Drosophila melanogaster: one gene and its partner. The protein of the gene in region 1 interacts with the protein of each later gene in a pairwise test. Each region holds a gene or a part of one and is shown in the gene's direction. Other genes may lie near its edges.

Region 1 (7,593 bases):
CTTGGACACACGGCAAGAGTTCCTTTTGCGCACTAAGATGCGCTGATCATCGTCCTCCTTGAGATGAATCACTCCCTGCACGCCCCAGTAAACTCTAAGCGCGCCTTCCAGCACCAACCGGTTGTTGACCTCACGACTACGTATCTCCAGGCTTTTGTTGTCGTAGAATTGGTTGTAGACCTGCCCATTAAAAGGGAATTTGGTGAGTCATGAGATATTGATATGTCTGGGTATTGCGTTCTGCACCTTAAGTTTGGACTCCAGGTGATCACGTGGGAGTGGCGGGCCATTGGCCTGAGCTCCGGTTGGCTTCTGGGCTCCCTTCACCCCATAGCTTTTGTGCGATTCCACCCGGGTGCCGTGGCCAAACAACTGGGGTCCAAACAGGGCGCCATAGCAGGGCACATGGCAGTAGGGCACACTTTTGTGCTGAAAGGAAAACAAAAGGCTTTATATAGATCACATGATCGGCTAACTAACAGGTGATCCTCCTACCTCAGCATGCTGGCCGGGATTTAAGCGTTTGCCGCATTCCTCGCAGCGCAAACATTCCGGATGCCAATCGTAGCCGATCGATTGTTTACGTTCCGCTGTGCGGGGCATAAATAAATATAATTTACAAGTTATTTACGGATCGCAATGCGCTCGTGTGTGGGTGCATTACCGAAGTAAACGGGTTTGCCGCACTTGTGGCACTTCCACATTCTGGATTCCAAACAGGTCGGTCTAATGCTTCCTCCGGGAATGGGCGTGTTTCACTCCTCCTCCTCTACTTCGCCGATTTTAAAGAGTTGTGACGTAAAGCCGTCGAGTTGTATGCAAATGAGGCGATTTAAAGCGGACACGAAACGCAAATAGAACGCTGGACAAGGGGTAAACACATGAGGCGAGGGGGGACGTGAGACTCTGATCGGTCAGTCGGTCAGCTGCGCTGGTTGCCGTGCGAAACTCATAGTTTTATAAATGAAACTGGCACTGGGCACTCCCACACTTGGTGCACGGTGCAGGTGCATCGGTTTTCGGTGCGTACTTGTGTGGATAATTGCACTTAAACCAAAACAGCACCAGCAGAAAGAGAACAGAACAATGAAATGAAAAATGGCACTTGTGCAGCACTGGCCGCGGATTCTTGTCGCACAAGGCGGGCACCCTAAAATCCAGCGGTGCTGTCAGCTGATCTGTTTTGTAGCTAGATTTGACTTGGCTGGCGGTAGCTTGAAACGGATTTGCTTGTTTTGGTGTTTAAAATTGTCATCGTTTGTACTTTAAATACATCTACATTGATTATGGCTAGAACCCAAATCTTTTTTGGGCTGTATCTTCTTTTAGGGAATTTAAGTTCCTAATTAGCTTCTTCTTAGCTACAAAAGTTTCCAACACTGATAAACCGTGCTGACAATGTCAATGTGCGTTGTTTTATGCCTTTGAATTGAAATCTTCGTAACTAATCGAGTTTTAAAACGAAAATCAGCACAAGGAAAACACTAAGCATTCAATACATTTAAAATTTTAAAAGATATGAGCAAAAGCAAATAAGCCCGCCAAAGTGTGTGACCATTCGCGCTGCTAGATTTGTTTTCGCTGCGAGTGCGGGCACACCGATCTGCTCTAGTAGAAAGTGAGACGTTTTAATTTGTTGTCTCTGCGCGCTGTGTAAATTTGGTAAATTCGGCCCCGAATCGCGTAAATTGGCGAGTTTCGCTAATTAGGGCCAGTGCTCAACGTGTGTAGCCGTCGATTGCCAAGGATGCGACTAATCACCATATCTCCTGCTGCCCGCAATTAGCTTCTCCCAGAGCCGCCCTCGAAAATCGCGCATCGAAATCCCCACTTCAGCAAGGAAAGCAAAGCAAAGCAGAGCAGCAGCAACAGGCCAACAAAGATTCACGGGCCTCAATTAGCGTAGCGAAATAGCCAGCAGTGCAGTCTAGGTGCTGCTTGCGTGGTGGCCAAAATGCGCGCCACCATCGAGTTCGAGGAGTGCCTGAAGGATTCTCCCAGATTCAGGTGCATATAAGCTGCAGCCCCGCCCCCACTGTGTGCCCATCCTGAGCCGCATTTGGCGTGAGATTCGAATTGCTCCATGTAGCGTGACTGGTTACTATCCAAAACCAGATACAGCCCAACACCGCCCCACCTGCTCCACCTGAAAACGCGGCTTAATCATCCATCGAACAAACTTTGTCCCGTCAGCAGTGTGGAATGTGCCTGCCTGCCCCTTTATTTCCGCAATTAAATTGCCGATGCTCTCGTCTCCGTCCGCGAACGCTTCAATGCCCGCCGCTGATTGATAAGATTTCACCCAAATTGCCGCTTCTCCACTAATCGTGTCCAAAGACAAAAGCTTTCCCTCGTAAAACGGTGCACAAACGCGGCGATAACTTGTTTGCCCAGCAGCCCCATCACATCTTCCCCACTTTTTCGCACCTGCAGCAGCTTCACTTGAAAGAAAACAGGAAATCAAGACTATCTTGGATTCTCCTGCACTTCGGTTCTTTTATCATTTGTGGAAGTGCCAACTTGACCTTGGTGTTTCGAAACCGAAGTACACTACAATAAATTATGTGAATCATATGTGAACTTTTCTGCCATGCATATAAAAAATAAGAAATCTAAGGATCTGTAAAGTAGGACATTTCTATTGCTTCAGAACTAGGCAGATATTATCGCAACCATAGTAAAATGTATCAATGTTATGCATTTTTTTAAACTAGCTTAAACTAGTTTCCAGTTTTAAGTAGAATTAAACGATTTATTTTTTATCAAAAACTTCAACTCATTGTGCATTTGGCTCAATCGTTTGAATGACGAACACATATTTGAAGATATATGAAGCTTTCGAAAGCCATTAGTTTAAAATGAAAACTGTGTATGATAGCAATATTATCACGGAATACGACTTTTCAAAGCCACTCTCAGAATGAATTGACTGCTGAAATAGACAGACCTCCATTCGAAATTACCATGTAGCTAGCCTCTGGAACGAGTACGTCCAAGAAAATAAACACAAAGTTAAAACAAAAGCAATGCCCGACAAATCGATGGATGACACAGGGGAAAAAGACGAGAAAAACCCGAAGAAGACGCAACAGAGTGATACAAAAACTTGTCCCCAGAGATGGGGTATCCTCCTCCTTCTTCACTTGGTGGCGACTCGTGTTCAATTGGAAGAGCAAACAGCGCTTTAATAAGTCCGCATAAATTAAAAGTGTCAACATAAACAGAGGCAGAGTGAGAGCGTCGGATCATCCGCTGCCCCCGCGATAACTTCTTTGATTAAGCTGGTTGATTATGTTTACTCTGCTCAGCCAGTCAAAGACGATTTTAATCACCAGCTCACTCGCAAGCCGATGCCCATCTTTTGTTTACATCTCGACGATATTGTGCTAACGTTTTCGATTTGTTTTTTTTTTTGTGCTTCTCGCCCCGCAGACAATTTGTTTCCAAGGAGGAGAGCGACATCGAGCACTTGGAGCAGCGCTTGGAGAAAATCATCAAGCTGTGCAATGTGGCCGTGGACTCGGGCAAGGAGTATGTCAAGAACCAGAGGTAAACAACACACTGCGCCATTATCCTAGCTCATTCATATTCATTGGCATCGATTCGCCATATTCTCGACTTTTTAGCGCCTTTGCCATGTCCCTGTGGGATCTACAACAGCACTTTCTCGACAATAAGAACGCGCACAATGCGCTGGGCAAGCTGATTCACTGCTTCCAGGTAATCGCTTCAGTGACATCCTATATGGGCTATATAAACCTTGTGTGCTGTTTGTTTTCCAGGAGATGAACAAGTTCCACACCATACTCTTGGATCAGGCTAGCCGCACGGTGCTTAAAAATCTCAGTGTGTTCGTGAAGGACGACATTAACCAGGTGAAGGACTATAAGGGACATTTTCTCAAGGTTTCCGAAGGCTATGACAATGCGCTGATTAAAAACGCTCAGGTAAGCTGGACATGCAGTAAAGGTGATATGATAGCCTTATCCTTGATTTCTGCATTGCAGGCCAGCAAAAACCGACCGCAGGAGATGCAGGAGGCTGCCAATATCCTTTCTGCCTCGAAATCGTGCTTCCAACACACCGCTCTGGATTATGTCAACTATATAACGCTAGCGCAGGCTCGCAAGGTCCCCTCAATACTATCCACGGTAAGGAAAGGGCAAGTATTGCTTGCCAATAAAGTATTGCTTATCGGCGTTCGATTGCTATGAATGCCATGAATGAAGTGCTCAACTTCCACTAAGTAAATAACTTTCAGTGGTTTGTTATTGCTATGACGTCACTGTTGTGATATCAACATGAGCATGTATGGGTTTCATATCTAAAACCAATGATCAGCATGTTGAGTCAGTCGGTGCGCTGGCCAATTCGCTCAGTTGTCTATCGGGAGTGCGCTGAGCTGGATTGCCGCTGTCGGTAAAGGCTGGAGAACAATAGCCGTTATTCTTTGCATTTGGCACGTTTTCATGTTGGTCTCCTCTGCTCTTTTTTTTCGGCAGCTGTTGGATTACTATCAGGCGTGCGTGACCTATTACCACCAGGGCTTCGATCTGTGCAACGACTTCGACGAGTTCTTTAAGAATATCAGCGAGGATTTGAACGCTTTGCGCGGTGACTATCAGCAGCTGGAGAAGGCCATGCAGAATCGCCATATGAGCGTTAATCGCTACTGCGACTCGAACACCAATAGCACGTCCAACAAGATCGAGGGCTACCTATTCAAGAAGAAGTCCAAGGGCTTCAAGACCTGGTGCCGACGATGGTTCTACCTCAGCGACAACCAGCTCGTATATAGGTGAGTGGACGCTCCCTTACAACTGCTATTCACGTAGTCCATCCAGATACATACGTATGCCATCCCATCTGCTTGCTTAGTTAATCAATCGTCTTCTTTTCGTTTGCAACTTTTGATTTTTGTGATGTTTTTGTTGTGTGGTGTAATGTGATGTGTTGTGGCCGTACGCTGAAGTGATTTGGATTCGCATTGCAGAAAACGCAGCAACGAGGACTCGTTCTCGGTCATGGAGGAGGATCTGCGCATCTGCAGCGTGCGCCCGGTAAACGAGGGTGACCGCCGTTTCTGCTTCGAGGTCATCTCGCCGACCAAGTGAGTATTTCGTGTTTGATTTGTCATTTGTCAGACAAAGGAATTCATTTGTTCCCCTTTTTTTTTAGATCTCACATCCTGCAGGCTGACTCCGCTGACATGCTTTCCCTGTGGATTTCCGCGCTACAGCACAGCATCGGTGCTGCCATCCAGCATGACTCCACGCATCACTCGCGACCACAATCGACGAACGCACCCAATAATTCGCTGCCCGCAAAGCGTAGAATGTATGTTTGAATCACCCGTATTATCCAGTTTTATAATAATGAATTATTTCCCATTTCTCAGCCACTGGGAAGAGTTCCTGAAGATACCGGGCAACGCATATTGTTGCGATTGCAGGAGCCCCGAACCACGCTGGGCCTCCATTAACTTGGGCATCACCCTGTGCATCGAGTGCTCCGGAGTGCACAGAAGCCTGGGTGTGCACTACAGCAAGGTGCGTTCCCTGACGCTGGATGCCTGGGAGTCGGAGAACGTGAAGGTAATGATGGAGCTCGGCAACGAGGTGGTTAACCGCATCTATGAGGCACGCATCGGCGATGATTGTGGGCTCAAAAAGCCCACGGAGCAGTGCGAGATCGGAGTGCGCGAGGCTTGGATCAAGGCGAAGTACGTGGAGCGGCGGTTCGTCTGCGGTATGCCCAAACCGCAGGAGCTGCTGGCCAGCGAGACAGCCGAAGTGCTGAGCATAGACAGTGGCGGCGTGGTAGAGGACGGCGAGAGTGGAGGCAGTGGTATCGCTAAGCGAGCTACTCTGTCGCTGGGCGGCACGCGAAAGTGGGCGGTGAAGAAACTTCGACGAAGGCAGAAGCAGCGCTCGATCCCAAAAACGTTGAGCGATGATCCGAGCATCTATAACACAGCCAAAACCGGCGACGAGTTGGAAGATGACGATGATGATGAATCCATCAACATTCCCTCGATGTCACTAAGCATTTCACGCGACGATTTGCTTGTGATCGGCGATGACCTGGCTCTTGACAGACTAGAGACTCCCGGCATTCTGGGCAGCGATCAAGAGAGCACCGATGGCGAGTCAGATGCGGAGTCGCCAGAGGAACTGCCCTTCTCCCAGCTAGACGCCAATCAATTGCTGTACATGGCTTCGGTGGTGCACAATCTACCAGTGATGTGCATGGCCTTCGCATTGGGTGCCGACAAGATGTGGAAAAATCCCCAAGACCGGCAACGATCGTTTCTGCACCAGGCCGTCATTTCCGGCTCCGTGATGGCCTGCGAGTTTTTGCTACTAAACGGAGCCGCCATCGATGCTGTGGACGAGATGGGCTACAGCGCCCTGCACATATCAACGGCCAAGGGTCACATCGCCCAAGTGTATTTGCTGTTGAAGCATAAAGCTGCATACGACCTCTCCTCCAGTGACGGAAAGAAGGCTCTGGACATTGCAGTGGACCAGGAAAACGCAGACATTGTAACGCTGTGAGTAAGAAAGCAGAGCTTCAATCCGGCAGATACATAACCATTCTTGTTTCAGACTCCGATTGACACAACTGAATGACGAGATTGGACCCAACGACGAGTACAATGGCGAAGATGAGACGTACAAGAACGTAATGAAGGACTTCTCCAAGTTACCAGCCAGCCAGACGCGAGTTCTGCGCCAGCGGCACGACTCAAATACACTCGAATCGCAGCGCAGCTCGCTTACAAACTCCGACTAGCAGTGGCAGAAGGGCCGCAAGAGTTAGGACCTTACTGGATATTATGGAATAATTTGTTCCAATTATTAGGATAGCGTGATATTGGATTGTTATTGGCTTTATAACGCATTAACCAGGAATGTTAAACGGTTTCGACCTCTAAGGATGTCGTTGCGGGCTTGTTTCCCTTGGTAATCTCATTTGAAAAGCGCTTCCGATTATACAAGAAAATATTATTCATTGCATTTGGCATTCGAATGGCAGGCACGATCGTTCGTTTTCTCTTAGGCGCATTTTGAATCCGTTTTTGGCGATTAGCTTAAGTTTAAAGTATTCGTAGAGCAGTTGAGTTTATTAAAAATACGTATATTTGCCTATAAAATTGTACATCGTCTTATGTGGTATTTATTAAACGATATTGTAAAATGTACGTCTAGCTATATGTATCTTGTTACAGAGCTGTTCCAAATGTTCCGATTTGTATTTGTTTGCTAAACTGTTTAATGCTGCATGTTTCTAAATGTTTTAACGCTATCATGTTGATGATTTTTGGTGCCAACTGTTGTGAGCACTCTAGGTTCGCGAATAAAGTTGTAAAATATTCAGATCAATCAAAGTTGGTCTCTTCAGGTGTAAAACATGGTGGTCCAATCTGCGGTGTATTGGTAAAACATGTCCAGGGACTATTCTAGGCCACAGCTTGAAACTCGTTCGTCTCGGATATGTAGTCTGTGAGCTTGTTCTTCACCTTGTGCATTGTGGTTACATGTCTCTGGACCGCACTGCGATCGTTAAACTGACGGCCGCACTGTTTGCAGG
Region 2 (2,802 bases), on another chromosome or scaffold:
AACTTCAGCCAAAAACTTATTGACAAAAATACAAAAAATATATTTGCCAAAAAAAATTGTTTATTCGCCCTGCTTAACCAAGAGTAAATTCATTCCCAAAGAAATCGTTGCCAATTTCGACCATTTCCCTATGGCCAAGTTTGTGTAGCCAACTTCTTGGGGCAATCGCCGCAGATCGATGTCTGGCACTGGCTGACTGAATCTCGGTCTAGACGTCGTCTAATGACAAACGCAAACCGCAAGAGATGAAGGACATTGAAGGAAACGTTATGCAAGGCAGCCGGAGCCAAGTCAAATGGAAATGCCATGGCTCCCCGTCTGGCAGCTAGATAAATAAACTGAACTTTAAATGGATGCAGTGACCCATCGATGACTTTTCAATGGTCTTGGCTAATTCCGGCTGACCACACTGAAAAGAAAAATCGCTATCTTACAATCATGTTCGAAAGAACAGTTCTGAAAAAAAAATTAAGCAAAAATGTATTTATTAAGAAACGAGTTGAATTGTACCATCATTATTACTATACCTTTGCTTTTAAATTTCTGATTTTCAATTCTATTTTTGGTAAATAATTTGGTATTATTATTTCTTTATACGCAAATCTATGACTTATTTTTCTTTGTGTAGAAAAGATGGAGCAGTAGAGAGATATGAGGACCCTTACAACTTCTGTTGGGCACTGAGGCGAAAGAATATCTCTCGAACCGAAAATCATAAAATGCATGCAAAATAAACCGAAAAAGTGGCGCATCATCATTATTTATTCGATATTCCCCCCTTCCACTACCTTGACCACCACCTTAGACAAGAGACTCAATCAATGACGACATCGGCTTTTAAATTTGTAGGGCCAAGAGATGGCGAAGCGAAATTTGCATAGAATACCAGAAAAGAGAAAAGTAGAGCCAGACTATTGAGAAATTAATATGCAAATTTCTGATAGTAGAACTTCGCATTGTTCCCATTCAAGTGAAATTTCTCAAACCAAAAACTTTGCCTTCTCAGCTATAAAATAGAAATCGCATGCCAAAAGTGGTTTCAGTATTATTATTAAGCACGAAACATGAAGACATCTTGGAGCTTTAGTTGCGGAGGTGCGTTCCATGCGAAAATTGTGGTATACGATGTGGGTTAGGTGTAAAGGATTTTTTGGTAACAGCTAGAAATGTGAATGTAACTTAGTGAAGTGAAAACAGATCCAAAGGCAGCTCTTGCCTTCAGGAAAACCAGGCGTTAGCAAGAAATTTCTAGGGGGACAGGGTCGTCTTCTTGCCAATTTCCATCGAATGTGCTTCTAGAACTATCCATGGTTTTGGAGAATTCCACGAAGGATATACGGGTATCCCCTGCTGAGTTTGACTGGAAAAATCGCCACAAAACCCCGAGGATCTGTGCGAACGGCGCTAAGTTGGCTGTCATAATTGAGGATTAAGCCGGGTGCGCGGATATCTTGCTAGTCATAAAGCCATAAACGAGACGGGGAAATTCCCGGCGACCCGGATCCCTTAGAAAACCCGAATGAAAAGCCTGTTAACAGTTTTTGGTTTACGGCATGCAAGCGCGTGACTGGCACCCGCTAATTACCTGGACCAAATATACCTGTGCGGAGGATCTACCTGCCCACCGGATCCTTTAAAAGGACCTCACCCCCTGGTCGGGGCATCATTCACTCCTGAGACTTACAACCCGCAACACACCATGATTGACCAGCACAAGCGCAGCCACAAATCAGAGAAATCCAGTCGCAAGTCGGGAAAGAAACATTCCGACAAACCACACAAGGTGAAGACCCACGATCCGCTCAAGAAACAAAAGAAGCGGGCTCTAAAGAAGCTCCGCCGCAAGTCCGCCACCGTGAATTTCCCGTACCAACTCTTCTTGTACCGCCAAGAACTAAGGCGGGCCAGCGCCGACTTTTCCTATCTCCGGCTGTCCAAGGCCAAGATAGTGCTTACCTCCCAACTAATCGCCAAGAAGATGGGCAGCTGCAATCCCGATTGCAGCGTGGACGAGCTTAAGGAACTCAGCCGCGAGGTGCAGTTCCAGAAACGCCTCTGCCATCAAGTGGAGCGCCTGCAGCAATTCCGGCAACTGGGACTCACCGAGATGATCCTCAACGGCAAGAAGACGACGCTGTAACCTGTGGAATTATAGAGGAAAAAGTCGGATTGAGCAGGCTGTTAGGCTGGGATGGGGCATTATTATAAGTTAGTCGCTAGTGTTTAGGTTGTAATATTTTATCAAATAAAATATCACATGGAAATTGCAAAACAAAATATTTTTTTTTCAACCGATGGGGAAATGTTCTTTGTGATAATGTTATTCATTTTAAATGTCTTGCCCTTTAGTTTTGCTCCTGTGTGGGATTATGTGCTCTGGCCAGAATGTAACGAAATCAAACAATAGCCAGGACATCATCACAGTGAAGGTCTTGCCGCAGTCAATATCTTCAGATCCTTCAACTGGTTCTTCCAGCTCAACCACCGCCACACCCACAGCCACAACTCCCAAACTAAAATCCAATCCTACAGCCAAGTCCGCCATACAGGCTCACGAAATCGAGGAGGAGGACGACGACTTCCACAACGATCGTCTTCCCGCCTTATCAGAGGATGAGTACAACAACCTGAGTGAGGACGCCAATCCGCTGCACTTCCTTAAGCAACAGCCCCTGGATCTTGAAAATGTGGAGGTGAGATTCCTTCACATTTTAGAAATCTATTTTTAAACAACTGTCAAATAATATAAACAATTGTAACTCAATCTATATATGAAAACGTAAATTTTTACGTCGTGTGATG

Evidence for each region. The genes of interacting proteins can lie anywhere in the genome.
Region 2: the proteins of CenB1A (region 1) and SNCF interact in a two-hybrid assay, tested with the Drosophila melanogaster proteins (one large-scale study listed by BioGRID).

What each region holds. Positions count from the first base shown.
Region 1 is NT_033777.3:23,116,835-23,124,427, forward strand, and holds CenB1A (centaurin beta 1A), read left to right. Parts: upstream 1-1,565; 5' UTR 1,566-1,954; coding exon 1,955-2,007; intron 2,008-3,432; coding exon 3,433-3,549; intron 3,550-3,626; coding exon 3,627-3,720; intron 3,721-3,782; coding exon 3,783-3,947; intron 3,948-4,007; coding exon 4,008-4,151; intron 4,152-4,377; exon of another isoform or gene 4,378-4,419; intron 4,420-4,502; coding exon 4,503-4,798; intron 4,799-4,972; coding exon of another isoform or gene 4,973-4,993; coding exon 4,994-5,110; intron 5,111-5,178; coding exon 5,179-5,337; intron 5,338-5,398; coding exon 5,399-6,553; intron 6,554-6,608; coding exon 6,609-6,795; 3' UTR 6,796-7,383; downstream 7,384-7,593. Other genes in the region: Rassf (Ras association family member), read right to left, coding at 1-180, 247-429, 496-590, 665-704; CG31365 (uncharacterized protein), read right to left, coding at 7,463-7,593.
Region 2 is NT_037436.4:13,376,923-13,379,724, forward strand, and holds SNCF (SoxNeuro Co-Factor), read left to right. Parts: upstream 1-1,660; 5' UTR 1,661-1,699; coding exon 1,700-2,140; 3' UTR 2,141-2,268; downstream 2,269-2,802. Other genes in the region: CG14111 (uncharacterized protein), read left to right, coding at 1,065-1,095, 2,350-2,693.